Anolis sagrei: one gene and its partner. The protein of the gene in region 2 interacts with the protein of the main gene of each other region in a pairwise test. Links are inferred from orthologs where the notes say so. Each region holds a gene or a part of one and is shown on either strand. Other genes may lie near its edges. The genes, in order: EIF5A2 and DHPS.

Region 1 (15,469 bases), about 130 Mb from region 2:
ATTATGTACACTTTTGTTCCAATTCCTAAAAAGAAGCCAAGCATTCTACTTGTGCTACAAAACAAAAACTAAAACCCAAAACAAGTACGCATACTACTGAAACACTTGAGGCTTTCCCTTCTTTTAAAACAGAAGAGTAACTGAACTCCATGTTGAAATCAAAGGCCTCGCGTGAATCACACCCCTAACCCCTGAACATTTGTGCACTATTTAACCAGAGTATGAAAGCACCCAATATTTTGGATGTTTGCATCACAGGCAAATGGCAACATGTTAAGACCGAGCCAGCAGGACTACAGAGATACAGACTGTTGCACATGGCCATCAGCACTGGCATTTTGATCATAGGTGTTCCCTTTCTCTAGCTCAGTAACTAGTCACAGTTCAGTGCAAGCCACATTTCAAAATGTTTAAGATAAAAATTGTTATTTTCATTTATTTAAAACGTTGTACTTAAACACTATTCTTAAATCCAAACTTAGTACTACCTTGGTATTGGCACTGCTATACAGTCTCTTTCGAGTAAAGCACACTATTTTAATACCTCATGATCTAAAATGACAGTTTTGACTGCCTTGCCATTCCTGTAAGCACTTGAACTTCAGCAATTTTAGTATTGCCAAATGGCTTGCAACATTAGTCAGCATTATTTTCAAACAAAGACACGAGGTTGCTAGTGAAGGTTATAGCTTTGGTGATAATCAGAACTAAAATACAAGATCTGCAGTTGCTGGAACCTGAGCAACTGCCCAAATCCAGATGGTCCTATTTGCAAGGTTTTATGGCTACAGCACATTCTTCGCTCATTGCACACATAACAGAAACCTACAGCAGGAAAAAAACAAACACATAGTTAGATTATGTGACTGAAGTACATTAAATTACATTTGCTTCAAGAGTAACTGTGCCAATGGTTTGGTGAAACTTAAAATAGAACTATTGGAACCAGAACTTAACATTTAGCAAACCAATCTCCACCCTCATTAAAATATGAATCAGAATAAAATATGAATAGGCAAAGGAAATGATTTTTGAGTAATTGTTAACTAACAAAAAATATTCGAAGAAATATTTCATCTAGTAAAGTTTTACCTGGAAATCTTCGCCTGCATTGTATTTTCCCTCTATTTCTTTGCCTAGTTCACCTTCTGGAACCTTCAGATCCTCACGAACGTCACCACTTTCGGTCAATAAAGAGAGGTAGCCATCTTGGATACAGATTAGCTGTGGGAAAGTTGGTAAAACAATCTTAGTTAATAGCCATCTGAAGAAATTTGAGTCAATGGGGCAGGCATTTAACCTCAGCTTCAGCTATTCAGACTTACTACTACACAGTTTTATAATCTGACTCTGAGTATTGCTCTTAGAAAGTCAAGAGAACATAGCTTCACTTAACTGGGGTAGTTTTTCTAAACCATGAATTGAATATTTAGCTTTTCAACCTGCTGAGTCCCACTATTGAGGGAAAGGTGGAGGGAGAATAAATAGTTACTGACTGAAATGTGGCAGCCATCATCATCAGGGTTAAAACACACAGAATGTAATCTTTGTTCTGAGACACAGAACAAAGATTGACACCAATCCTAACAAAATGTAAAGTTAAAATTCACAATTTAAAAAACTGACTGGGCAGACCTGCTGGGAAAGAGTTAAGTCTTCAATTAGTGTCTGGAGTTCTGACAGCTCATTTAGATCAATAACTACTGCAGTCAAACATTTAAAGCAGTGGTTCTCAACCTGTGGGTCCCCAGGTATTTTGGCCTACAACTCCCAGAAATCCCAACCAGTTTACCAGTTGTTAGGATTTCTGGGAATTGAAGGGAAAAATATCTGGGGACCCACAGGTTGAGAACCACTGATCTAAAGTCCCAAAGGTCAAGCCATGGTCTATATTTTCATGTATACTTACTTGGTAATCATTCCTCTTGATATTTGGGACATCCATGTTGTGAGTAGAAGGACAAATATCTTCATATTTCTTGCCAGTGAATACATCAATACCAACTAAATGGACCTAGGAGAATATTCACAAGTCAGATACTTAGAATACAAATAACATGCTACCCTTGTCTTGTTACCCTCAGCTCACTTTGGCTAAAAAGGAATTTGAGAGCATGACCTTTAATTTTCACCTCAGTCAGACTACTCTGGCCTAGTTGGGATTATATGAATTCTGAACAGTTGCGAAAAACATCAGGTCTGAAGGGGTGGATTCTCCAAAGGAATGACATCACAAAGATCTGACACAGGAGAGCCCTTAAGCTTTGCTGATGTCCTTAACACATACCATTTTGCCAATGAGGGACATGCTGTGATTTTTCACACTTTCTGCCCTGCCAAGTTGGCAGTTTAGCACTTCTTTGTGCAAAGAAGGTGGAGAGTTCTCTCCTCTTGAAAAATGAAGGCACATCAGTCTCCATGTGTAACCTCCTTATCTATTCCTAGAATCCTCCAAGTCTGGAAGTTTTCAGAGAATTCAAGCAAGAGGGAGAACCCCAAGCTGTCTCTTTCTGCCTGCCTAAATGCATCCATCAGGCAGGAACACTATGATCGAAAAGCAGAGAGGCAGGGCCAGTTACTCTGGATAGGGGTTCTCTTAAGAAAAGCTGGTTAAACAATTTGAGTGGCTGGTCTTAACTTCTGGGGTAGGAAGGTGGAATTACACAGTCCAGACTATTCTCATTCACAGTCCAGACTATTCTCATTGGAATATGATGTACATTCATGCAAAGAACAGAACTGTTTATTGATGGACTATGCTTCTAATATCGGGAAATTCACATCTCACTCACATGTGATACAAGATGATTATCCAGATCAGAAACAGAATAAGAGGGCAGCCAACTAGGATGGAAATGCCAGTAAGTGGCAGATTATTTAAAACTGAGGTTGCACAAAATGCAACTGAGTATAAAGTTTGGTATTTGACGGCTGAAATTTAGAGACATTTGTGGAATAGAACAGAAATGAAGGAAGAGATTACCTTTGCATGACCATGCTTGCCAGTTTTGGAAGTTGACATCTCCACAATTTTGCAGGGACGTCCCTTCAGCACAACAAAGCCATTCTTGCGAAGAGCAGAACACTGCATTGGGTAAGTGGCAGATGCACCAGCATCTCCAGTGGTGAAGTCAACTTCATCAGCCATGGCAGAAGTGTGTTTCAGAAAATACTAAAATTCAACAGTTCCTTATCAGTCGTTGAACACATTTTATCCATCAGTTATATCATCCAATTACAATGTTTACAGAACATATGGCAAATATGGATTCATATTCTTCCCACTGCTATCACAGACCAGAAAGTTGTCCCTTTAAACCATGGATACTCTAACTAGGGATTTAATCCCATGGTTACAAAATATTCCAGGGAAAAATATATCCAAAAATGAAACCTTCAATTTCTCATTTTATACGGGGGACATCACTTTACCATGCCATTATACAGGGAGTCCTGTATACAAATAAGTTTGGTAGATTTGTTCTCAAGTCGAATTTGTATCCAAGTCAGAATAGGTACATTTTAAGTGTAACTCCAGCCAAATAAACATATCTTTTAGTTTTGGATAGCATCGGGAAGGGTTAACACCCCTGTGGTGTTTGTTTTGCTGTCTGTGCCCCTATTCAGAGGATTTCGCGTCACTTTCTATTCATTTGCACCTGGTTTCATTGGCATTATTTCTGTTTCCAGAGTTTTTATATTTATTTATATCCTGCTTTATCTCCCCAAAGGGGACTCAAAGCGGTTTGACATAAAAGCATTGGTATCCATTTTAAAATATACAAATATAAAAATATTAAAACAGAATTGCATACAAACAGTATTTTAAAAATTCAGTTGAAATCCATACATATTCAAAGTTAAAAACCATAGCACCCGCTGACTAGATCTTAAATACCTGCATCTTTAAATGCCTGTTTGAATAAAAAGGTTATAGCCTGCTGCCAGGACAACAGGTCCTTGGGCAGGGAGTTCCAGAGTTGAGGGGCAGCCACCCAGAAGGAAGGCTCACTCTCTTGTTTCCACTGACTGAGCTTGAGATGGAGGTGGGATTGAGAGAAGAGCCTCTCCCAAAGATCTCAGGGTCCAGGCAGGTTCATACAAGAAGACATGGTCAGCCAAATAGCCTGGACCTGAACTGTCTAGGGCTTTAAAGGTCATAATCAGCACTGAATTGTGCCTAGAAGCAGACTATTCTAGAGTACCCAATTACTTTTGCTGAAAGCACACAAGACAAGGAAATAGTGATAATTTAACCAAGACCCTCATCTTCAGAGGCATTTCAAGTGCTGTGAGGTATAAATAGGGTATGTTTATTACCATCATAAATTGTCTGTGAGTTGTCTGGGTACCCCACTGGAAAATATGTTGGACAACTACAGGACTTCTGGGCAAATGCAGCCAATTTTCAAATAAAAAGGAGGGAAATAAATCTCAAAGGTGAGACTTAGACAGAATATACAATGTACCTTACACGATTGTATGTAGGCTTTCATAGATTGAAGGTTTCAGAGAAGGCCAACTTGAGGGTAAATTCTGCCTTATTTCATTCCTTTTAGCAGTCTTCATTTTATCTGTGTAACACTTTCAAGGGTTGTAGGAGATGCTACAGGGAAGATGGAACTGAGAAGTCCCCTTGAGCCACACAAATGCAAGCGTCTAAATCTGGGCCCACTGCTACCTTAATCTGTATGTTTAGCTATGGTACACTTTACATGGTTGCGTATATTTCAATACAAATTGCCTTGGGGGATGAGACCTAAACAACGACACAAGGATCGCTGTGTTTTTGTTTTTTATTCGTGCCAGGAGTAACTTCAAGTTGCTTCTGGTGTGAGAGTTGGCCATCTGCAAGGATGTTGCCCAGAGGACGCCCAGATGTTTGATGTTTTAACCATCCTTGTGGGAGACTTCTCTCATGTCCCCGCATGGGGAGCTGGAGCTGACAGGGGGAGCTCAACCTGCTCTCCCCAATTCGAACCGCTGACCTCTTGGTCAGCAGTCCTGCTGGCACATGGGTTTAATCCATTGTGCTACCAGGGGCTCCGGGCATAGCTGTGATAAATAGAAATGCTTGAACAAACCGGACTATGTTGTGTACAACATAGAGAGAGAGGAGTCTTGCTTATCTAACCTTTGGTCATGCAATGTTCTGTATTATCTAATGCACTCTGCCTCCTGCCCAGATCCACAATTGTTTCAATACATTGCAATGTTTTGATGCTAAATTCATAAATACAGTAACTACTACATAACGTTACCACATATTGAACTACTTTTTCTGTTGATTTGTTGTAAAACATGATCTTTTGCAGCTTAATTTGTAAAATCATAATGTAATTTGATGTTTAATAGGCTTTTCCTTAACCCCTCGTTATCCAACATTTTTGTTTATCCAACATTCTACTGGCTCGTTCATGTTGGATAAGCGAGTCTCTACGACAATGGTTCTCAACCTGGGGTCCCCAGATATTTTTGGCCTACAATTCCCAGAAATCCCAGCCAGTTTACCAGCTGGGGGATATCACACACGCACACACACACTAGTCGTCCCCTGCTACGCGTTACTGTGGCCCAGTCTGTGTATATGTGTTTTGTGTGTGTATATATGTGGTTTTGTGCATGCACTGTAATGTATTATTTATTTTTTGGCTTTTTAAGTCTCTTCTGCTGTGTTTTTATGAGTAATGGTCACTTGTTGGCCTGATAGGCGTATTGTGTCCAAATTTGGTGTCAATTCATCCAGTGGTTTTTGAGTTAGATTAATCCCACAAACTAACATTACATTTTTATTTATGTACTAGCTGTACCAGCCACGCTTTGCTGTGGCCAACCTTCCCTTTCTCTCCTTCCTTCACTCCCTCTTTCTTCCTGTTCTTCCTTCCTTCTATATCTCTTTCTTTCCTTCCCCCTTTTTCTCTCTTCTGCTGTCTCTCTTTTCTTCCTTCTCTACCTATTTCTCTCCTTCTCTCTTTGCTTCCATGCTTCCTTCTCCCTTTCCCTCACTCTTTGTTTTCTTTCTTTCTTTTTTTCCTCCCCTTCCCTCCCTTTTCTGTATTGTCATTTACCTTTTGGGGCTTTTTAAGTCCCTTCTGCTGTGTTTTTCAGTGTTTTTATGAGTGAAGGACATACACTGGGTTGTTAAGTGTCTTGTGTCCAAATTTGTGTCCAATTCCCCCAGCGGTTTTTGAGTTCTGTTAATCCCAAAAACGAGCATTACATTTTTATTGATATAGATTGTGTGTGTGTGTGTAAAATTGGAGGGTAGCCCATCACCTGCACTTTCAAAGATGCATGAGTTCTGTTAATCCCACAAACGAGCATTACATTTTTATTTATATAGAAGATGTGTGTGTTGAAAACTGGAGGGTAGCCCATCCCCTGCAACTTCAAAGACGCATGAAAAGAGGAGCAACTGCAGAAGGCAGCCATCCAATGGTGCCTTTGCTCATAAAACTCCTTCTAACTGACCTGCCCTGAGGGAAAGGATGGCAGAAACATTCGAAAGCAGCGAAATGGGCCAACTCCTGCCCTCCAGGTGCTTTGGACTACAACTCCCACAATTCCTAACAGCCTGCCGGCTGTTAGGAATGGTGGGAGTTGTAGTCCAAAGCACCTGGAGGGAGGGCCGAAGTGGTGGCCGTGCCAGCAGGCCTGCGCAGATCTTGCAGACTCAGGGGCGCCTCTTCCTCGAAACCTGAGTCACGCCTTGCCACGTTATTACAAAATCAAGGCACCCAAGCACGATGTGGAGGAGGAGGGATCACTAAGGGACGGTTTTGGGATCTCCATTTCCCAGCCCTGTGGTATGAATGAGCGCCGAGCTTCCTTCCAGGCCTGGATTAACCGGGTACGGAAAGCGGCGTGGGCTCAAAAAGGCTCCGCGGGTACGCGCGAACGCCGGGCCTCGCGCCCACTCCACTCCCCCCTCCCTCCTTTCCCCCCTCCCTTCCTTCCAACGGTCGAATGGAACGAAGAAAGCGCCGCGCGCGCCGGCGTCAGGGAAGCGCTTACCTTGTACGGCACGGGAAGGGGGAAAAAAAGACCGAAGGAGCGTCGCAGCAACGCGCACGCGCACAGCTGCCGGAAAGGGTGCCGTCTTTTGCGCGTCGAGGCGGTTGGGGCGTGGCCATCGAGGAGGAAACCCTGCGCATGCGCTCTTCACCCCCAGACTCCCACTTCTTCCTCTCCTGATTGGCTACTCGTCCCCATCGCCCCGCCCACTCTGTTCTCTCCAGCGTACAGCTCGTCGGTGTCGTCATTGCCCTGCGCGGATTGAGCCAGGGCTTTCTCCCCACCCCCTCTTCTCCTCCTCATGCGACTTCCACGTGTGGTTTTTCTCTTGCAGCTTGCGCTGGATCATCCCTGTACGGGAAGCCGCCTGACTCAAAAAGTCTCAGTTGCTTCGCGCGTTTGCTGAGCTTGCCATGAATTCATGAATGAATTCCTATGCACACTGCACATATCTTATTTGTAATGCAAAAACACACTTTAAAACAATACAATAATTAAAATGAAGAACAATTTCAATAAACATGAAAGGCACTGCAGACTAATTCAACCAGAGAAGTCAACCATAGCAGAGCACCTGATGAACCAGCCTGGACACAGCATATTATTTGAGAACACAGAAATGTTGGACCACTCCTACAACCACCATGTCAGACTACACAGAGAAGCCATTGAAATCCACAAGCATGTGGACAATTTCAACAGAAAGGAGGAGACCATGAAAATGAACAAAATCTGGCTACCAGCATTATATTACCAGCATTATAAAACTCTAAAATTGCAACAGCACAACAACAGAGAGGATGCAGGAAGGGGCATCTAATTACCTCTCAACAAAAGTTTGCCCCAGGCACAGTCAGGCCATTGTATGCTAATCAAGGTGGTCAGTTGAAACATTCACACCTAGCTCTGACAGACAAGTGTCCTTTGTCTCACCCTGGTCATTCCACAGATATATAAACCCATTTTCCTAGTCCCAACAGACCTCACTACCTCTGAGGATGCTTGCCATAGATGCAGGCGAAACGTCAGAAGAGAATGCCTCTAGAACATGGCCATATATCCCAAAAAAACCTACAACAACCCAGTGATTCTGGCCATGAAAGCCTTCAACAATACAATTTCAATAAATATAAGATTATTAGTATCTCAATGGGAAGTGTGGCCCTGCTTTTGACTGGTGAGATAGGATTGTTGTGTGCTTTTAAGTCGTTTCAGACTTTGGTTGACCCTGAGCGAAGGCCAGGTAAATGACCGTGGAGGGCTGTATTCTGTGCCTTAGTTTGAGGACCCCTGTCATAGATAATAGGGAGCAGGCCTACTTAGTGCTACCAATACTGAGGGCCTTTCCAGACAGCCCTATATGCCTGAATATCAAGGCAGAAAATATGGGAAGGAATCCCACTGGAGCATTGCAGGGCACCAAAAAACCTGGGAGTCACTCTGGACCGTGCTCTAACCTACAAGAAGCACTGCCAGAACATCAATCGAAAAGTGGGTGCTAGAAACAATATCATACGAAAGCTGACTGGCACAACTTGGGGATCACAACCAGATACAGTGACGACATCTGCCCTTGTGCTATGCTACTCTGCTGCTGAGTATGCATGCCCAGTGTGGAACACATCTCACCACACTAAAACAGTGGATGTGGCTCTGGATGAGACATGCCGCATTATCCTGAGGTGCGCCCTACACCACTGGAGAAATTATACTGTTTAGCCGGTATTGCACCACCTGATATCCGCTGGGAAATAGCATCCAATAGTGAAAGGACCAAGGCAGAGACATCTCCAGCTCATCTCCTGTTTGGGTATCAGCCAGCACGTCAACAACTTAAATCTAGAAATAGTTTTCTAAGATCTACAGAGACACTCGCTGGAATGCCTCAGCAAGCGAGAGTCCAAAAGTGGCAGGTTCAAACCTAGAACCTCAACCAGTGGCTGATACCAAATGAGAGACTCCCCCCTGGACACACAGAGGACTGGGCGACTTGGAAGGCGCTGAACAGACTGCGCTCTGGCACCACGAGATGCAGAGCCAACCTTCAGGAATGGGGCCACAAAGTGGAATCCTCGAGATGCAAGCGTGGAGAAGAGCAAACCACTGACCACCTGCTGCAATGCAACCTGAGCCCTGCCACATGCACAATGGAGGACCTCCTTGCAGCAACAGTAGAAGTACTCCAAGTGGCCAGCTACTGGTCAAAGGACATTTAATCAACTACCAAACTCACACATTTTGCATTTTGTCTGTTTGTTTGCTTTGTTCTGTTACAAATGTAATATAATTGACTGGTTGCCCTGACACGACAAATAAATAAATAAAAGGCAGAAAAATTCCACAATATCTGCATTGAACTGAGGCCAGATCCAGACAGGCCTTTATCCCAGAAGCATCTGCATTAAAATAACTCTGATGTTTCTGGGGGCCTGTCCATACCCACCCCATAAAACTGGCCACTTGGAGTGCCTCTCCAATATAGTATTATATTACAACATTATTATATTGTTTTATATTCCAATGTTAGTAATATATGTGTATACAATATATTATTAGCATGGGACAATATTAGTATCATTATATTTTACTATACTACCCACGGATGTGAGAGCTGGACCATAGGGAAGACTGAGCGAAGGAAGATTTTTGAACTGTGGTGCTGGAGGAAAGTTCTGAGAGTGCCTTGGACTGCGAGAAGATCCAACCAGGAAATAAAGCCCGACTGCTCATTGGAGGGAAGGATATTAGAGGCAAAGATGAAGTACTTTGGCCACATAATGAGAAGACAGGAAAGCTTGGAGAAGACAATTTTGCTGGGGGAAATGGAAGGAGAAAGAGGGGCCAACCAAGGGCAAGATGAATGGATGGGATCCTTGAAGTGACTGGATTGACCTTGAAGGAGCTGGGGGTGGTGATGGCTTGCAGGGAGCTCTGGCGTGGACTGGTCCATGAGGTCACGAGGAGTTGGAAACAACTGAACGAATGAACAACAACAAAGGGTTAGGGTAAGGGGTTAGGCTTAGGCTTACAGTACGGTTCAAGGTTAGGCCAAGGGTTACATTCCTTCTATATCTGTCTCCAGCCTGGCTTACATTAGCTAAGTCTCTCTTGTGCAAACAGCGCTCCCGAAGAAGCGATGTAGCATCTCCGTATCGCTCAGAGCTTCTGGACCCAGCTATTATACTATTACCCAGAACTTGTTGACTGAAAGGTCAGTGGTTCAAATCCAGGGAGTGGGGTGGGTTCCTGCTGTTAGCCCCAGTTTCTGCCAACCGAAAAGTTTGAAAACATGCAAATGTAAGTAGATCAATACCTTCTGTAGGAAGGTAACGCCACTCCATGCAGTCATGCTGGCCACATGACCTTGGAGGTGTCTACGAAGAACGCCAGCTCTTTGGCTCAGAAATGGAGATGGGCACCACCCCTCCAGAGTTGGACATGACTAGACTTAATGTCAGGGGAAACCTTTACCTTTACTTATACTACTATACTGCAATATTATTAGTAATATGTATAATATATTTTTTATTTACAGAAGGCAAATGAAAAATCCAATATGTACTACCTGGCTTTCACAGTATTCAACCTTATTTATCTCACATTTAGCAGCAACTTCCCATCGCACATCCGGGGGGGGGGGCAATGTCAGCAAGCTTGTAGAGTTTATCAACAGGTAGTATAGGTTTAAGACACACTGTGATTATTCTGTATGTTTCATTCATGTTTCATCAATATCCTAATGCACGAACTATTGTATGGATCCCACTCTTCATAACATGAAGGATATATCATGAAATAGGAATATCATTCTTCACTAGTTTTCTCCTTGAAGAAAACAAATAGTTTAAACAATTTTCTTCCCACGGAGAGAAGATTTCTCAAGGCTGTTTCCATTTCAGGACTTACTCTGTGCAACAACAATGATAAAGAAATATGTGATTGACAATGGATTTTGAATTCTTACTCTGGACTTGGATTTGGACTTGTCTCTTTTAAATGGTCTTTTAAACTTAATGATGATGTTTTAATTAATGTTTGACTGTGTTTTTATTGTTGTTGTTTGCATCTAATGGTTGCTGGTTGTAAGCTGCCCTGAGTCCCCCTCAGGGTGAGAAGGATGGGATATAAATGTCTGAAATAAATAAATAAATAAATCTAACACATTTTCGTTTTATTCAGAAACTATTATTTCTCTGTGGAAATACTGTTGTGTGCCTCCAAGTTGCTTCCGATTTGTGGGTATTCTAAAGCGACCTTATCATAGAGTTGACAAGCTGGAATGTGTCCAGAGGAGGGCGATTAAAATGATCAAGGGTCTGGAGAACAAGCCCTATGAGGAGTGGCTTAAGGAGCTGGGCATGTTTAGCCCGAAGAAGAGAAGGATGAGAGGGGATATGATAGCCATGTATAAATATGTGAGAGGAAGCCACAGGGAGGAGGGAGCAAGCTTGTTTTCTGCTTCCCTGGAGACTAGGACGTGGAACAATGGCTTCAAACTACAAGAGAGGAGATTCCATCTGAACATGAGGAAGAACTTCCTGACTGTGAGATCCGTTCAGCAGTGGAACTCTCTGCCCCGAGTGTGGTGGAGGCTCCTTCTTTGGAAGCTTTTAAACAGAGGCTGGATGGCCATCTGTCAGGGGTGATTTGAATGCAATATTCCTGCTTCTTGGCAGGGGGTTGGACTGGATGGCCCATGAGGTCTCTTCCAACTCTTTGATTCTATGATTCTGTGATTCCTTGGAGAGATTTGTTCAGAGAAAGTGCCTTTACCTTTCTATGAGGCTGAGAAAGTGTGACTTGCCCAAGGTCGGCCAGTGGGTTTCCATGGATTTGAATCTTGGTCTCCAGAGTCATTGTCCATTGCTTAAACCACTACACCATGCTGGCTTTGTCAATCCAGAATCGCCTTAATGATACTGCACGAGAGTACTATGACCTCCCAGATTTTGGACTATTGGCTCTCTCTGGCCTAGCCTTTATAGCCAATGGTGAGGGTGAGACAATATATCTGTTGTGCGGTTTGAGTTGGTGCCATGATCATTGACATATTCTGTTGAATTGCAGATGACAGGAAAAATGTCTCCAGTTAACCACAGAGTTGTATCACCTGTAACCTTGGTATGTTTGATGAAAGAACAAACTCTTTGGATTGTTGTAGGTTTTTTCGGGCTATATAGCCATATCCTAGAGGCATGTTTGATGAAAGCACAAACTCTTTTTCCTGACTAAGCTTATTTTTAGTCTGTGGATACAGATACTGCTTGGGACATTATCTCTCCTCACTTTTTGCACCAATCATTTGCAAAAGTCAGGCTGTAGCTTTCCTGGCAGGATCTCATACAAGAACAGGAATTCATTTTCAGCATTATAAAGGAGAGGCACAGCTTTCCCATGACCTAGGCTAGAAGCAGATGAAAGATCCTCCCATCATGCCAATTGAAATTGTCCTGACCTTGAAGACAGGGAGAAAAGACAAGCATAGTTCCATCATAGAGCTGGAAGAGATGCCAAGGGACATTCAGTCCAACCCTCTTCCATGCAGGAACACATAATCAAAGTACACTTGAGAGATGGCCATCCAGCCTCTGTTTAAAAACTCCCAGAGAATGAGACTCCACTACCCTGCGAGGCAGCATATTCCACTGACATAATTTAAAATATGACTAACATGTCTCCTTTCAGTCTTCTTTTCTCCAAGCTAAATATAACCTAATCTGTCAGCTGTTCCTCATATGGCTCAGGTTCAAAATCTTCCATAATTTTAATTACACTTTTCTGGGCATGTTTTAGCTTGTCAATATCCTTGAATTGCAGTGCCCAGAACTGGCAACAGTATTCCAGGTGAGGTTAGATCAAAGCAGAATAGCGTGGGGCCCATTTGTTTCCCTTACTCAATCTAGACACTGTACTCCTGCTTCTGAGCCCAAGTATGCCCAAGTATGCATCACTAGATGAAAGGCCCATGGAAGGAGAGAACAAGGAGTATGTGCTGAGTACATACGTTCAGCAGATACCTCTTCTTTCCTAATTTTTGCCCTAAGATCTGCCCGCAAATCATTTATTTGGTTGACCTTGTATATAAGTTTAGGTAGGTTTGTGGGAAAAATTATGGGGTTTGATATGACCCTTACATAAATTGAAAGTAATTTCTTGGAGAGGGAAAAATGCCAATTTTGCCCCAGGGCTAGCCATCTCTGTCTGCCCAGGCATTAAAAAGGGTTGGTTTTTTTGGTCATTGTACTCAGTGAAGGGAATCTTTCCCTTTTTGCTAAGAATTACGGTACGGTACTTACACAGTACGGTACGGTACTCCATGCAGTCATGCCGGCCACATGACCTTGGAGGTGTCTACGGACAACGCTGGCTCTTCGACTTAGAAATGGAGATGAGTACCACACCCCAGAGTTAGACATGACTGGACTTAATGTCAGGGGACTACCTTTACCTACCTTTACCTTTACTTACACTGTGTATAAAATGTCCCAAGTTTTGGGGGGTTGACTTTTTAAAGTGTCTAGATTTATATATACAGTAATTTCATCCCAGACTGCCACCCCCCTTTTGTGTCATATCTGAATTAGGTTGTAAGTCCAAGGATAAGGAACTAGGGTTTTGTTTTGTTTGTAAAGTTCCATGTACATTGATGGTGGTTTAGAAATAAATGATAAATTAACATAGTAAGTCCAGTCTGACTGACTTCTGATACAAAGTATGGTCAAGTATGCCAGCTTTCCTTATACCAGTCATCACAATGATCATGTAAGGATGGTCACTGTTAATAATAATTCTACTGATGGTTGCAATGCAGTCCTATGCATTTTTATTCAGGGATTCCATAGCATTCACAGTGGTTCACTCTGTAGTAAATACCTCTCTGATTACAGGCTGATACTTGCTCAATACTATCTGTAGTGTCGGCATCCATTGAGTTGTGACTAGAAGGCCTGAATTTGTTATGGTGCTGCATTTTTACATTGCAGCTGTCCATAACACATTGCATTTCACCTCTCCCTTGGGCAATTACTAAAACCAGGTTTCATTCAATTAAAAAAAAATTGAAATTGGCAGAAAATAGTTAAAACCAGACTGAAATGTTTTCCCAATCATACACTTCTTCACATCTAAAACTTCTTGCAGATACCAGGTTATATCTTCCAAAAAGGCAATCCTGTTGGATGATGTATTTCGTGGTTTTGTTCAGCAGATGGTGCTAGTGATTTTGAAAGAACAAGGCAAAACCTAGCATATGATATCAGACAACATCTTTTTAGTTCAGCCAAACAATGCTGGATATATTGAAGTTGTTTGTAGAGATGCTTAATTGTATCACAAAAAAGTCATTCAAGCTGCATAGAGTCCTCAAAGGAATACTGAAATGAAAAAAAAATCCATGGAAATAAAAAAGTCAGTATATCAGTTATTTTGCACTGTTTCTTTTACCACAATACCCTGAAATCAGAAAAAAATAAACATTGAAAAATTTAAGGCATGTAGCTCTTCATATGTTTTTGGACTTTATCTCCGAATATTCTTCATTTTTGGTTGCCTTGGCTTGTGCTGCTGGGAATTATAGTCCAACAGCATCTGGGATGCCATTAGGTGCAACAAGCTAGGAAACAATAACTCACAAGTAATGCAGTCAACTATAAAAAGTTAATTTTCTTATCAATGAGGGTTGTGATGAAATTATCTTCCAGAGTTTAAACAGCAAATTGGAATGAAGTTACTGTACTTTATTGATGCAATGGTATTTAGTTATTTTAAGGTTCTGTTGACAGTTTTTCAGGTGTATTGCCATTTTTTTTATCAATCCTAAAGTTTCTTTTTTCAACATTGTGTTTGTGGGCCTCTCTAGATCTTCCAATGCCGTTGTATGGCATACTTCCAAGCCATTATAGTAAAAATATTGGGTTCACTATTATCTGCGGTTTCAGATATTCGGGTGTCAGATAGAGGTAATATTGCATTGTATCTGTTTTTGAATAATCATGAATTTTGAGGTGACATACAGCAAGCCCGTTTTGCCTTTCCCATTTTACTCTGTAATAGCCCTTCATGAATTTCCTTGGAATGTTGCTTTGCTACACCTTGGGCACTAGGAAATAATTGCTCACATTACCATGAATGTATTGTCGAAGGCTTTCATGGCCGGAATCACTGGGTTGTTGTAGGTTTTTCGGGCTATATGGCCATGGTCTAGAGGCATTCTCTCCTGACGTTTCGCCTGCATCTATGCCAAGCATCCTCAGAGGTAGTGAGGTCTGTTGGAACTAGGAAAAAGGGTTTATATATCTGTGGAATGACCAGGGTGAGACAAAGGATTCTTGTCTGCTGGAGCTAGGTGTGAATGTTTCAACTGACCACCTTGATTAGCATATAATGGCCTGACAGTGCCTAGAACAAACTTTTGTTGAGCGGTGATTAGATGTCCTTGTTTGTTTCCTCTCTGTTG
Region 2 (15,633 bases):
CCTCCTTCCTCTGAGGCAAAGCAGTTTTTAAAAAGCCCAACACAGAGAATAGAAGAAAGAAAACCCCACATACAACCCCCCCCCCCCAAACCGGAGTAGCAAAGGCAGAATTTTATTTTTATCAAGTAATATTATATTTTTGGATTAAAAAAGGATAAAATGTGACTATTATGTGATACAATACAGTACACATAAGGTTTAGGGTTAAGAGTTTGTACATTCTTTGTGGGAAGAAGTGCAGTGAAGAAAGGGACAGGCAGTATTTCTGTAATCTTGGTCAACTGTATGTGTGTCTGCTTGTTCTGTGTGAGATACATGATGTCAAAACCAATAGGAAAGAACGTTGCCCCTAAATCCTATTGCCGTTCATGAATAACTTTAGCTACTTACCATATGATTAACCTCATTGACAGCCTGACCAAAGCTGGTAGCTTGGAAACCCGTTGTGAGGTAAGACTGGAGTAAGGCATGATAATCCAATCCACAATCAAAGTCATATCCACATACAGTTTGACTCCCTTCAGGTGGTCCCTCACTGGGCTTCAGTACAGCAGCCACTGCTCCTGCAGGTAGGCTGCCTGCCAGATTCTCCATCAGGTGGACAACAGTAGAGTTGAGACCTAAAACAATGAGGACACAGGAGAAAAGAATCCCTCAGAATACTTCTATAACATCTTGCCATACAAGTTGTCACAGAATTATGGGCACTTAATATATATTAGACCTCTTTTCCTTCATAGTATGTATGAAGTCTTGGCTCTGCCTTCTCCTCTCCTCTGCTTTAGTTCCCCGTTTTCCTATAGTGTAGTTACCTTGCTTATATTAGTTTGTGAGTGGAGCTTAAGACACCTCAGAGGCCTGCCTCGGTTTGTTCCTTTTCCCCAGAGCTCTATGCTGGACTCCTCCTCCTTCCTACAGGGTGAGGCAGTATAACTTCCTTTTTTCAAAACTTAATAAAACCCATTGTATGAATCAGAGTTTTTTTATAATGTAGGTGCATACCTAAAGTTTTGTTTTTATGTAGTTTTGAAGATCAAATTAGGTAGGTGACATCCCCCATTCTCCATACACTGAGTAAACCAATTTCTGGCATTTGTCATGACTCTTGCCAGCATAGCAGGCGTTATGTTGGCAATTTCTTCCTGGATGTTGGTCTTCAAATCTTTTTTTTTTAATATTCTTTATTAGAAAAATTTTCCAGATACAGCGAATAAAAACAGAGGAGTGGGGGGGGGGGGGGTTAGGGGTTTTTCGGTTATATAAAGTCGTTAAAAATTTAGTGTGGGGAGGGGTGGGGAGGGGTCTTGTAGGGTCCTTGGACGGTTCACATAAACATGGGATTTCAAAAAACCCCATAGAAAAAAATCACAAGGGGCCAAATCTGGAGAGCGGGCCGGCCACTCCAAATCCGCTCGAAAAGTAGACCTCAATGGCAAAAGCACGCTCCTCACTGTTCCAACACAGGATGGCGACTGAACTGTGTCAGAACAAAACTTTATACTCCTGCCTCTCAAACGAGACCACTAGCGCACCGCCACGTCTTCAACCGACTGAATGGTGCACATTTTAAAAAAGGAAGTTATGCTGCCTCACCCTGTATAAGTAGAGCAATAGAGGCCTGGACACTTCTGGAAATCCTAGGCCTATCAATCCAACAGGCATTTCTTAGCACATACAGCTACTGCTACATTTACCATCAGTCCAAAGGACAATCGAAGTGTTGGCCAACCCAAGCTTCTTAAAGAGAGAAGATGAAGGCAGTCTTTAGCCATCACTTGGCACCAGAGGCAAAAGAGACTTTCAAACACCCTAGAGAGATGTCTTCATCCAGCCGGTGCTCCCTATGTAATGTATTGTTTTAAGTTACCTCAGGATAGTCCCGGGTGGAGTTAACCCTTCATTCGCCTTGTTTCAGTAAATTTATTTTGGTTATCTTTTTACCTCGCCTCAAAGTGCTTCTGTCTGTTAAGGGTTCTAAATCTCAATAGAAGGTAACAGATAGCCACCGAGTAAAGCCAGAGAATATAATTTTCCACAAAGGCTCGGGTGTGCCATCACAGTATGGCCCTTCCAAACTGGGTGACTACATCGTCTCCAATTTTGCAATTGGAATACCAAAATAATATTTCCATATGGATACATAATGGGATACATATACATAACAGCCATGCCTTTCCTTACATAGTGAGATATCTTAGAGATGGGACCCAACTCTAAAGAGGAAATAAATCTGTGCTTCATATACACCTTATACACATAATCTCTTTTAACAACTGTATTCATGTATCAAAGTTCGTGTGCACTGAACCATCAAAAAGCAAAAGACTCTATATCTCCACCATCTATGCTGAAGTATATTTTAGATTTCGGAGTATTTTGGATATTCAGAATTTAAGATAAGGGATGCTCACCTTGTATATGTAAATGTGTACACATAACGTACACAAGCACATGTAATATTTTCAAGTGGGGCAGGTCATGGATTGTAAATACACAACTAAAACTGATCAATTCCTTAAGCAGATAGATTTATATTTTATATACATAAAAGCACCACTGCTCTATCTTTAGGCAGAATTATATTGACTGAGAGGATTATGAATTACAATGTACAAAGGACAGACAGGCAATTATTCTAAGCCCTAAGAAAGAATCCCATTTACAAGGAAATCCCACTGAGATCAATTTGAAATCAAAGAGTACTATTTTAGTTTCTTTAAAATCCATACTTTCCTGGTTTGAATGTTTATAACAGGAAAAAAGCCAAATTCATTTTGAGTGACGAGTGGTAGTATAGAAAAAAGAAGATTGTCACAGGTCACATTTTACAAAAAAGGTAGCAATGAAAATGTTCTGGCATTGCTTCCAGAAACTCTGTGTGTAACCCAGTCTTTCAATACCCATCTCTCTCTATCCTTTTCTGCTCTGTTGCTTTTGATGTGGTCTTGGTTTGTTTTTAAAATAAAAGTCATTACTTTACTTGTTACGGGCAGAAAAATTCAGTTAAAGGTCATATTCCAGACTGCTGTTAGTATTTCTCACTTTAGATCATGTACTAATCTTGTACATGGGGTTCCATGTGCTATTGACATCTGTCTTTCTCTATTTTCCATATTATTCATGTACTCAATAAATGAAAAACAAGCTGCTTCAAATGAGGGATTATCTTTGTTTGCTTTTCTGACCTGACAGGTCAGCTTCTCTATTAGAGTTAACTTCCAAGATTTATTACACCGGTTTTCTGTCATTTTTCCCCTTCCAATTACTAACTGTAACCTGTTTGGCTGTTCTAAGTATAAAACAGACTAAAGCTTTTCTGTATATAGAATACTTCTGTATTCCTGGGTCCATAATGATGTTTCACAGGACTATCACATTCACATCTTGATCCAATTCTCCTTTTGATTACAGGAATGGAAATATGGACGACGAATTGGATCACAATTCTAGTTATGAGATGTATTACACTGTCTTATTGTTATGTCAATTTTGTATACTATGCTCTTATGGTTTTAAATTGTTTATCACTGATTGTTTTTTATCCTTGTTGTAAACCGCGTTGAGTCGCCTGTTGGGCTGAGAAACGGCGGTATACAAGTAAAGTAAAATAAATAAATAAATAAATAATAGGTCTTCCCAGGTGAGGGAGATAGTGTGGTACCCACCACAAATTACAATAAGAACCCAAAGAACCACATCCCCATCAACACTATGCTGATCTGACACGTCATTGTTTTTATTATACCTTAATTAAATGCTCTGTAATACAGAGACACTGATTTTGATTTACTGGAAATCTGGATTTGATTTCAATCTTCATTTTAGGCATATCCTAAATCTTTTATAAAAACAGTCTCCAGGTTATGATCAAGATAGGTTCTCTAGATTTGTTCTTAAGCTGGATTTGTATGTAAGTCAGAAAGGGGACATTTTAAAAGTGTAACTCCAGCTAATTTTTTGTAGCTTTGGATAGCATAGGGATTTGTTTTGCTATATGTGCCTCAATTCAGAAGATTTCACCTCACTTTCTGTCCCTGTGATAATAGGATTTTGAAAAAATTGGCTTGTTGTGGAAACAAGGATTGGCAATAAAACTTCAATGGAGACACTTTTCCCCCATAAGGAGTGAATTCCCCTTCCGAGGTGTAGATTTCTCTCACTTTCTCAGCCTATCGGTGACTCAAGGCGGTTTCCAACAAAACAGTATACATAGTATCATAATACAATTTAAAACATTAAAATTACATAAATCTCACAACAATAAAAACAACATCATTGGTGTCTCCTTATTGTCAAGCATTGTTCAGTTCCATAATCAGTCATCAGTTCCTATATCAGTTATCTGTATCCGTTACTCTGTTTGTGAACGCTTGCTCAAACAGCCACGTTTTGTGTTGCTTCCGAAACGTTAAGAGGGAGGGAGCAGATCTAATCTCTCTGGGGAGAGCATTCCATAGCCAGAGGGCCACCACTGAGAAGGCCCTGTCTCTCGTCCCCGCCAAACGTACCTGGGACGAAGGAGGGGCCGAGAGCAAAGCCTCTCCGGATAATCTCAAGGTCCTAGATGGTTCATAAGGGGAGATACGTTCGGACAGGTAAGTTGGGCCAGAACCATTTAGGACTTTATAGGCTAGAACCAGCACTTTGAATTGTGCCCGGTAGCAAACTGGCAGCCAGTGGAGCTGGCGCAACAAGGAGGTTGTATGCTCCCTGAGAGCCGCTCCAGTTAGCAATCTGGCTGTTGTCCGTTGGACCAGTTGAAGCTTCCGGACAGTTTTCAAAGGCAACCCATTTCAGACTTAAATAATAATTATTCACTGCCTTATATTCTTGATTATTTGTACTATTAAATATTTGAAGCTAGAGAATCATTGAGCCATATCTTATTCTTTTTGTACCACATGCTGAATCCTAACACAAGTATTAAAGACAATTTACTTTCAGCGGATGGCAACAAAGATGGCAAGGACCTAACAGAAACTGAAGAGATCAAGAGAAGGTGGCGAGACTATACTGAAGATCTGTATAGGAAGGATAATAATATTGAGGACAGTTTTGACAGTGTGGTGAGTGAATTTCTTTTTTTCCTTTTGGCAGTTGATGGTATCCATAGAATTGTCTTCATCACAACATGTCAAATGAATTTATTTTCCTGCTGTAAGCTTTCTTCACTGTCCAACCATGCATAGCCTCTGGAAATACTAAGGTATGGGCCATCCTGACTTGGAATTCAGTAATATATGTTTATATTTAAGGATCTTGTCTAATACCTTCATTGCAGAATTTCTAATTCTAGGTGGGATAAGGAACATGTGAGCTAGCCTATTAGTTTCTATGCAGCTTGAGTCTTGATGACATAATAACTCAGAAAGAAGGCAAGTTTAGTGAGTGAGCGCTTAACCACAGAATGAATGCAGTTTGACACTTTAAGTGCTGTGGCTCAATGCTATGGAATCCTGGGGTTTGTAGTTTGGTGAGACAACAACACTTTTTGGCAGAGAAGACTAATGAGAAACTACAAGCCCTGTGATTCTGTAACATTGATCTATGACAGCTAAAGTGGTGTTGAATTTCATTCATTCTACAGCGTGGCTGCACCTTTTGTCCTCCAGTGCTACTCTATGATCAACTTCTGCTGCAAAGCAGTCACAGAATTGTAATGGATAACCAAAGGCACATCTATGCTCCAGGATTCATGCAGTTTGACACCAGCGTGATATCCCAGGCTCAATGCTATGGAATTGTGATGATTGTAGTTTGCTCTTTAGTGTTCCCTGCTGCAAATCCAAGGATTCCCTAGCATTGAACCCAGGAGTGGTAAACAGTGGTTCTCAACCTGTGGGTCCCCAGGTGTTTTGGCCTTCAACTCCCAGAAATCCTAACAGCTGGTAAACTGGCTGGGATTTCTGGGAGTTGTAGGCCAAAACACCCGGGGACCCACAGGTTGAGAACCACTTTTCTAGTGTTCAGGCCCAGGCTATTTGGCCAACCGCATCCCATTGTACGAACCTGTCCAGGCCCTGAGATCTTCAGGAGACGCCCGTCTCTTGGTCCCACCTCCATCTCAAGCTTGGTTGGTGGGAACGAGAGAGTGGGTTTTCTCTCTCATTGGCTGCCCATCAACCCTAGAACTCCTTGTCCAGGGAAACCAGAATGGCCTCTTCCCTGCTGTCCTTTGGGCACAGTGGTCCTCCAGGCGTCTTGGACTTCAACTCCCAGAAATCCCAACCAGTTTGCCAGCTATTAGGAATTGTGGGATCTCAAGTCCATAACACCTGGAGGACCAAAGGCTGAGAACCACTGTTCTGGCAGCAAGCTAAAACCTTTTATTCAGGCAGGGGTTTAAAGATAAATGTGTTGTAATTTGTGGTTTATATGCTTGTATGGTTTTATCTTGAATTGTTTTTAATAGTAACGATGTTGAATACTGTTCCAATATTTGTACATTGTATATTTTAAGCTGTGACTCATTGTGACCCACTTTGAGTCTCTGTATGGCGACAGAAGGCGGGATATAAATAGGTAAAGGTTTCCCCTGACATTAAGTCTAGTTGTGTTCAACTCTGTGGGTTGGTGCTCATCTTCATTTCTAAGCCAAAGAGTTGGCATTGTCCATTGACACTTCCTAGGTCATGTGGCCAACATGACTGCATGGAGCGCTGTTACCTTCCTGCAGACCTATTGATCTACTCATATTTTGCATGTTTTCGAAGTGCTAGGTTGGCAGAAGCTGGGGCTATCGTATTGATATCGTATTGTTTTTCATGTTTTCCTTTCCAATTAACAATGTTCAAACAAAAGCAGAGAGTGAGAGAGACTGTTTAGGTGCTCTGGGTGCTGCTAAAGTGCTCTCAAACCACTTTAGCTCAGTTGATCAAATGCTTGAGTGTAAATTGTTTGTGGATTATTTACAGGTGAAGTAACTTCTACGATGATCATCATGACAGACATCAGTAGTCTCATGGTCTTTAAAGATAATGATGTTTCAGTTATCTGCTATATTAAAAAATAAATATAGATTTTCCAGCAAGAGCAGGCATAGGCAAACTTGGGCCCTCCAGGTGTTTTGAACTTCAACTCCCACAACTGCTAACAACCTCAGGCCTTTTCTGCTTAAGTGGCTGAAGGGGAAAGGAAGGAATTGTGGGAGCTGGAGTCAAAACACTTGGAGGGTCGAAGTTTGGCCAGGCTTGGTGTAGCTGTATACGGAGAGATGCCTGGAGAGGTGGTACACATCGGCCAAAGTGGGGCTGCCCTCCTGCATGAGAACAAAGAAGGAGGAATGGCATTCTGACTTTCCCCATCTCCTCTCACCTGCGGCCTGAAGTGGGGCAGTCCAGAGTCCTGAAACGCCAGCTCGATTCCAACATCTTTGGCGAGAAGGAGGGAGAGATGGGAGAGAGAAAGGAAATAGGGGTAAATGGGAATCACCCCGAGGTGGTCCTTGGCCTCCCCATGGCGCGGTGGCAGCCCTTCACGTGGCGGTGGGCGGAAGGGGCGCCGGGCCCTGACTTGGGGGGCTGAGAGGCCCGCTTGACCTCACAGTGCGAGGGAGAGGCAACCAATGCCCTCCGCTCTGCCTTACCCGCTGCAGAGCCGCGTTAGAGGCGACTTCCAAGGCAGGAGGAGGTCCCCAGGCCCGCGTCCTTCTAGTCCTCCCCTCTCTGGCTGAGGCGACTCCTCCAGACACGCACGCCTTCACCCCTCTTTTTAAGCGGGTCCCGAGAGGCGAGGACAAAGCCGGCTCTTTCGCGCTTCCGTTGAAAAGCGTCCCTCCCAATCCCGCCCCCCGCCCTCCCTTCACAAAGATGGCCGGCGGAAAGCTTCACCTTTGGGCGGAAGCTGGCCAAACAAGGCTTCCCTTCCGGCCCAGGAAAGACAGCCAAGTGGCTCGTAAGCGGGGCAGCAAAGAAAGCGTTTGGATGAAGAGGTTTTCTTTACCCTCTTTCTTTCCGTAGGGGCAAAAGAGGAAGATGATATGGAGGCGAAAATGAAAGGCGGTGTTGCTTCTGGGAGGGCTACCTGGTGTTTTGGACTTCAACTCCCAGAATTCCTAACCGTTGGCTAGTGCAGCAGAGGCTTCTGGGAGTTGAAGGCTAAACTCCCCTGGGAGGCCAGACAGCTTTCCTGTAGCAATTGAAGCGCTCCCTTCAGACTGGGGGCCCTTCCACACAGCCATATAACCCAGAATATCAAGGCAGAAATCCCACAATATCTGCTTTGAACTGGGTCATCTGTCTGGGTTATCCACATTGTCATATAAAAGGTAAAGGTTGTCCCCTGACATTAAGTCCAGTCAGGGCCGTAGCCAGAAAAAAAATTCGGCGAGGGTTGACAATTTTGGTGGTGGTGGTGGTGGGGGGGGGGGGGGGTGGTGGTGGTGGTGGTTGAAAATTATTTCGGGGAGGGTTGAAAATTTTGGGGGGGGGGGAGTTGAAACCTGCCTCCTAGCTCAGCTGAAGCAAAGAGCACAGCAGGGGGCAGAGCAACCTTCCATAGCCTGCAGCTCCGCCCCTGTCAATCACCTCCACCAAGTCTGGCCTCCTTAATGAGAGCATTCAACACACACACACCCAACTTGGTTGCTTCACTACATCGTCTATTGCTGCAAGTAATGACAGTGTGAATAAATTGTCAATATTTGCTTGAGATAGTTCTTACAGTTCTGGAGGGACTCTTAATTTTTTGCATCTCATAGACTTAGCATGGGGATTTGGTTAACCAGTTAAAATTCATGAGTAAACCAGGTTTTTTAAAAAAATCTGAAACATTTCGGGGGGGGGGGGAGTTGAACCCCTAAAACCACCCCCTCGCTACAGGCCTGAGTCCAGTCATGTCTGACTCTGGGGTGTGGTGCTCATCTCCATTTCTAAGCCGAAGAGCCAGTGTTGTCCATAGACACCTCCAAGGTCATGTGGCCGGCATGACTGCATGGAGCGCCGTTACCTTCCCGCTGGAGCGGTACCTATTGACCTACTCACATTTGCATGTTTTCGAACTGCTAGGTTGGCAGAAGCTAGGGCTGACAGCAGAAGCTCACGCCGCTCCCCAGAATTGAACCTACGACCTTTCGGTCAACAAGCTCAGCAGCTCAGCACTTTAACCCACTGCGCCACCGGGGGCATATAGTCATATAGTCCAGTTCAAAGCAGATAATGTGGTATTTTATTCAGCTGTGTGGAAGAGGCCTGAGGGCCAGTTTCTGGTAGAAGATTGGTCTGTGGTAAGGATTGCATTGGATATCTTCTCCCTTTGTTGACTAGACACTTATTTGCATATATAATTGATTAGTTAAATCCCCGTGTAGGCACCACAGCAGAATTATAGCACTTTGACATCACTTTGGGCCCTTCCAGACAGGCCGTATATCCCAGGATCCGATCCCAGGTTTTCTGCTTTAAACTGAATTATATGAGTCTGCAGTGGGTAATTGTATTATACCTGGGTTCGGAAGGTCCGAGCATTACGCTGTTTCCACTTTGGGGCCGCTGTTTGCACAACGCAGAACGGAACATGTGACCGAGATGGGGGTAATGTAAGCCAGGCTGGACACAGATGTTATAGAAGGAATGTAAGAGTTCTTTAATGGTAAAACCCTAATCCTAACCCACAGGCCCGTAGCCAGGATTTCGATTGGGGGGGGGGGGGGTGAGTTTTTTTCAGGGGGGGTTTCGGGGGGGCTGAGTCTGAGTGAAAGAGGGTTTACCCTAGCAAACCTTTTGTATCATTACCCCAATACCCCCATGCATATGGGATATATTGAGTATGGTGATCAGATCATGATATGAATAAACATAACAGTTTAAATAATGCACCAGTAAGGCCTTTTCGCAAACCACCATGAGAATTTCGGGGGGGGGGGGGGCTGAAGCCCCTCAAGCCCCCGCCCCCCGGCTACATGCCTGCTAACCCAAACCCTAAACCTTCCCCTAATCCTAACCCTAAACCTTATCCTAACCCTCCCCTCCTTTGTATCCTTCCACCAAATGCAACTTTGAAGTATATTCCCGCCCTCATTGTGCCGCTCCCCCGCTCTCACTCCGCCCCCTCTCTAGACCACGTGGTCCTTTCCCTTATTCACAACCGCCATTGTGGGATTGTGCATTATGCTCGTAGCTTCCGGACACAGCTATTGTACTATCACCCCACACTGCAAGATAATCTGGGATAAACAGAAAACCTGGGATCAGGTCCTGGGATATAGCACCTGTCTAGGAGGGGCCTTTGAACTGCCATAGGATTGTGGGGTTTATAGTTTGTTGTGGCCCCAAAGCTCTCTGATAGAGAATAGTAACAATAATAATAAATATTTATTGATATCCCACTTTTTTCCCACGAAGGGACCCAAACATGTTAAAATACAATAAAATACAATACAAAATCAATCAACAACACAAATACAAAACATAATGAGCTAGAGATAAAACATAAATAAGTTAAATATCGCACAATCCCAGAATTGTACAGCTCTGAGGCCTCTTCCACACTGCCCCTATGTCCCAGTATATGATCCCAGGTTATCTGCTTATTCCAGATTATCTGCCAGTGGAGACTCCTATTGTAGTGAAATCATATTTACGGGAAATCATTTGTTCTCATCTTATTGGCCCAAATCCACTCCTGTGCAATGCATTTTTACCTTTAAGCAATCATCTTACACGATGTATATTCAAGAAACCAATCCATTTGTGCTTATGCGTTTATTAGCTTTTTACTATGTGATACATTCAAAGGCACACCTCCCAGGTCAAGCAGTGTGCCAAGTTAAGCAAGTGAAATCCCAATTAAGCAGGTTTTTTTTTAAATATGACTTCAGGCATCTTCCTCAATTCCTCAAGCATCTTCCTCAATTCCTCAAATTTTCTTTGCACACAAGTTAAGCATTAACAGCATTCTTGAAGCAAAGCGGTTTCTTAACTAAAGCATTTAAAATCAATTAAACCATTCTTTAAGCTTCCTAAACCCCTTTAACATAATCTCGTTTAAAACAGATATAGGGCAATGTCCTGGGATACAGGAAGGGGCCTGAGTCATGGCAGTCAAAGTGGTCTCAAACTGGTCTGAGTTGCCCAAATAAGGTTAGCCAGACTGAAAACTGGAGAGAGGCCCCCTGTGTCTTCAACAGTTTTGTAGAGGAAGAAATTTCAATTGGTGTGTATTTTACTTTTCCCCCCACCTTTCTCCTGCCCAGGGTTTGAGGCACCGCCTGACTCAGTTTCGGCTTGCCATGCAATGGCCAGATCACAAGCAGCACCTGATGAAATGTTCTCTTCCCAAGAGCCTTCTCCAGTTTTCACTCTAGCGTCTAGGTCTTTGTGTTCGTCAATACATTGAAAAATGACAGATTTTATTCCAGAAAATAAAACTAGATCCAGCCACCTTGCACGTACCGTAGGCAGAACAAGAAGTGGTGCTGAAAGCACCTGGGAGTTTGTCAGCTGGGGGTTTATTGTTTAATAGGCACAGTAGGTGCTCATTTTCATGGGATTTCAGCACATGAAGAGGTGGCATTTAAGCGTTTTCTCTCCTGCTGTGGTCCTGACAGCCCACCTTCATCATGACGCTCCTGGCTTTAAAATAAACAGAGCAACAATTGAATTGTTTTATGTGTTTCTCTTGGTTTTCCTGGCCTATAGCCAGAGGGTGGGAGGGCAGTTTTTTCCTGCAATTATGACACTGTTATGCAGGTGATACCATGTGTATTTATATGTTGGTGTAAATTGCTTCTATATCTATAGAAGTCAAAGTATGTAAAATAGAGTCTCACTTATCCAAACTTTGCTCATCCAATGTTCTGTATTATCCAACACATTCTGCCTCCTGCCCAAATCCACAGCTTTTTCAAAACATTGTGATATTTTGGTGCTAAACTCGTAAATACAGTAATTACTACATAACATTACCGTGTATTGAAATGCTTTCTCTGTCAATTTGTTGTGAAACATGATGTTTTGGTGTTTAATTTGTAAAATCATAATGTCATTTGACGTTAAATAGTCTTTTCCTTAATCCCTCCTTATATCCAACATTTTCACTTATGCAACGTTCTGCCGGCCTATTTATGTTGTATAAGCGAGAATCTACTCTATATACGTTTGTTCGTTGGTTTGTACAACAAAGGTTATTTGGCTTGATGGATCTAAACTTGGCACACATACTTTTAATTTAGAGATTTGAACTAAAAAAAACAACATCCTTTTTTGAACTAGAGCTGAGGGAAAGAAAAGGAATGAAGTGGATTGGCTGTTGCTAGGTAAAGTGGCCCTTTGTCATGTGACCGGAAAAGAAAGGGAGCGAAACAGAGTGGCTGTTGCTAGTTAAGATGTATGAGCGGAAGTGTGGAAAGAGACAAAGAAGGGTGAAGTCAGAAAAAGGAGGGAAAGCAGGGAAGAAGAGAAAGAAAACAGGGAAAGGTATGAGGGGAAGAAAAGAAAGAAAGAGGAGAAAATGTACAAAAGTGAGGGAAGAGAAAAAGAAATGAAGAGCAACAAAGGCAGAAAACAGAAAGAAGAGGGGGAAGCTGTATGAGGAAAAGCAAGGAAAGAAACAGAGGGGACAAGGTGTGTGAGGGAAAGGAAGGAAGGAAGAGCCATGATGAGAATACAAAGCTAGACAGCATTGGGTATATGTGTATACACATATTTTACAGCTTTTAGCAATCCCTGTCAACTTTTTGAACTCACTTATTGCTGCATTCACCTTTTCCTATCTTTGCCTGGCCCAATTCAGAGCTCTACATGTTTGCTAAACTTGTGTTTTAAGTTTATTCTCCACTAGAGCTGAGCAAGTGTGGTAGCTTTGGGGCACAGTTTTCTGATCTGGAGACCCCCTAGGGAATGTGCAGACTGCCAAAAATGCCAGGGTTCTTTAAAAAAAAGTTAAAATCTGTTTAAAAGCTTACAGGAGAGGCAATTCAACCTCTCCTTTTGATCAGGGAAAATTGGTTTCTGAAGTTTGGAGTGACTGAGGGATGCTAGCAGACTGCCTCCAAATGCATTTTATCCACTCCTTTTCTACCCCAGTGTATTTTACTTGCCATTTCTATTTCCAATCTTATTATCTCTGTATAGTGTTTTTCTAACCCTGACTCACACTTTTTAATACTCTCTAATGGGGCTGATAGAGAAAGTAATTTGCTCACCTTTAATACAGAAGACGAAGAAATGAACAGCAAATCAGATGCCTGCCACAGAATTACAAAGGAAAACCACCCAGTTGCTTGTAGAAAGCCATTTGTTGCTTGATCTCTCGATGCTTAGACGTCTCACAATGTTCATGTAGTGAACCAACAGTTGCTAAAGCAGGTGTTTTGAGTTCCCATATTGTCAAATTGCCAATTGAGAGTCTTTCTTAATGTCTGTACAGAGGAGATATTTCTCAGCTACTGACAGTCTTCAGTAAACTAGATAGCTGCAGCAATGGAAAGCATGTTGTGATGCCCACACTAGATTGACTATACCAATGGTTCTCAAACATTGGTCTACTGGATGTTGGGGACTTCAACTCCCAGGCGCCCCAACCAGCATGGTTAATGGTCAGGAAGTCTGGAAGATGAAATCGCAAACACCTTGAGGATCAACGTTTGCAAGACAGGGCCCCACACCACGGTTGGGAATCCTACATCCCTCTAGATGTTTTATACTGTTATTTATGCTGTAAGTCATAGCTGTCCTTGGCTGTTCTGGTTAAAGCTCCTGTGAATTGCAATCGATTAACATCTGGAGAGATGCATGATTCCCACCTTTGGCCTCTATTCTTCAGTGGTCTTGGAGCCCTTCAGATAAAATGCAAAACCTCTGAAGTTTTGAAAATTAGCAGCAGCCATTTGGAAAGAATAATTTTCTCCTCTCTTATTTTTACTACATCTCACTTCGTCTTAGCAAGGGTTAAAGTGTAGTTGATTCATGGAGGTGTGGGAAGAATAAAGCAGCCAGACTACAGCAGTGGTTCTCAATCTGTGGGTCCCCAGATGTTTAGGCCTACAACTCCCAGAAATCCCAGCCAGTTTACTAGTTGTTAGGATTTCTGGGAGTTGAAGGCCAAAACATCTGGGGGAATCCACAGATTGAGAACCACTGGACTACAGGATCAGGTGAAGTCAACAGTTTATTTCTGGCCAGAAACACATGACAGTCCAACTCTCACTGGAAAAACAAACTCACACTCAAAAACTAGGTGTGTTGCCCCTTTTATACGCTTTTCTAAACTTACGTTTCAATTGCCTTGAAACCCCCTGTTTTACAAGAAACTATTTGTACCTATTCTATTGGCCAATATGCATTCCATATTTATCTTAAAAGCAATCAGCTTACATTACATTGGCACTAAGTATGGCATTGAGGAAGAGCCATATCAAGTTAAGCAAGTTAGGCACAAGTTAAGCAAGTTTAGGCAAATTAGTAAATATATCTCTTCTGTTTCTTTACATACAGTTAATCATTTAAAGCATAGGCCCACTCAAAAGGAGTATGACATTGGCCATTTTTCTTTCATCTCATAGGGACTTGCCTCTTCCAAAAGAATGAGATAGCTACCAACTGTTTTCTCCACTATCCTGTTCAGAAGAATATGGTTTACAAAGACCCAAGGATCAAAACAGGTTCATCTGGGTAATTTTCAGGAGATACTCCACTGAGGCACTGGACCTTAGCACAACCAAGTAATAATAGCATATAGCTGCCAATTGCAGCAGACCTGGGATCAAAAGTAATTGTGACAATTGGGAATTCCACCCTATTCATCATCAATGGGAATGTTTAGCTTTTAAAGTTGTTAGATATGCCAGATAATGATCAGGGATCTGATGGCCATGAGAGAAGTGAAAGAAGCAATCTGGGAAACTGAACTCTCATTAATTGGTATAATTTCCTCTTGTGGATTTGTAAAAAAAAAATGGCATTTCCCCATTCTTTGTGTGATAAGCAAAGTTTGGTTTCTTCTTCCTATCCTTTGCAGATTCAATTCCTAGTGGACTTGCTGTTTTGCAGCTTTTACTTTATGCTTTATTTCTACTTCCCCTTTGCTTTCAGATGTATATTTTTATGTGCAACACATTAAACAGCTGAGCTGTTGAACTTGCTGACCGAAAGGTTGGCGGTTCGAATCCGGGGAGAGGGGTGAGCACCTGCTGTTTGGCACAGCTTCTGCCAACCTAGCAGAAAATATGCAAATGTGAATAGATCAGTAGGTACCGTTTCTACAGGAAGGTAATGGTGCTCCATACAGTCATTCTGGCCACATGACCTTGGAGGTGTCTGTGGACAACGGCGGCTCTTTGGCTTAGAAGTGAAGATGAGCACCATCCCCAGAACCGGACACGGCTAGACTTAATGTCAGGGGAAACATTTACCTTTACCCATCATTGTACACACACAAGGCTAGCACCAGCAGCTCCATATAGTTGTGTTAGTCTGTTGCAAAAGAAAAAACACCATCTTAATGACAAAGATTTTATTTGAATTAAGTTCTTTTGGATTGTGCTTCACTTTTTTTATCACATAGGGGCTTTAAAGCATTCAGCCCTGAATTCTGCCGCCTGCAGAACTCTGAGAAATGTTGTTTAGACCTTTTGAATTCTCAACTACAGAGGTATTAACCTTCCCAAACTACATTTCCTAGAATTCTGCGAACTGC

The links.
Region 1: the proteins of DHPS (region 2) and EIF5A2 interact in binary tests that used the Homo sapiens proteins (3 or more experiments, as listed by UniProt). The two-hybrid records come from large-scale screens. The link is inferred for Anolis sagrei from reciprocal best matches to the Homo sapiens genes DHPS and EIF5A2.

Annotation. Positions count from the first base shown.
Region 1 is NC_090023.1:252,242,145-252,257,613, forward strand, and holds the start of EIF5A2 (eukaryotic translation initiation factor 5A-2), read right to left. Parts: upstream 7,124-15,469; 5' UTR 7,015-7,123; intron 3,173-7,014; 5' UTR 3,149-3,172; coding exon 2,984-3,148; intron 2,015-2,983; coding exon 1,910-2,014; intron 1,225-1,909; coding exon 1,093-1,224; intron 826-1,092; coding exon 766-825; 3' UTR 1-765. UniProt on the Homo sapiens protein: Translation factor that promotes translation elongation and termination, particularly upon ribosome stalling at specific amino acid sequence contexts.
Region 2 is NC_090023.1:121,340,008-121,355,640, reverse strand, and holds the start of DHPS (deoxyhypusine synthase), read right to left. Parts: upstream 7,795-15,633; 5' UTR 7,586-7,794; intron 7,371-7,585; exon of another isoform or gene 7,315-7,370; intron 621-7,314; 5' UTR 595-620; coding exon 391-594; intron 1-390. UniProt on the Homo sapiens protein: Catalyzes the NAD-dependent oxidative cleavage of spermidine and the subsequent transfer of the butylamine moiety of spermidine to the epsilon-amino group of a critical lysine residue of the eIF-5A precursor protein to form the intermediate deoxyhypusine residue.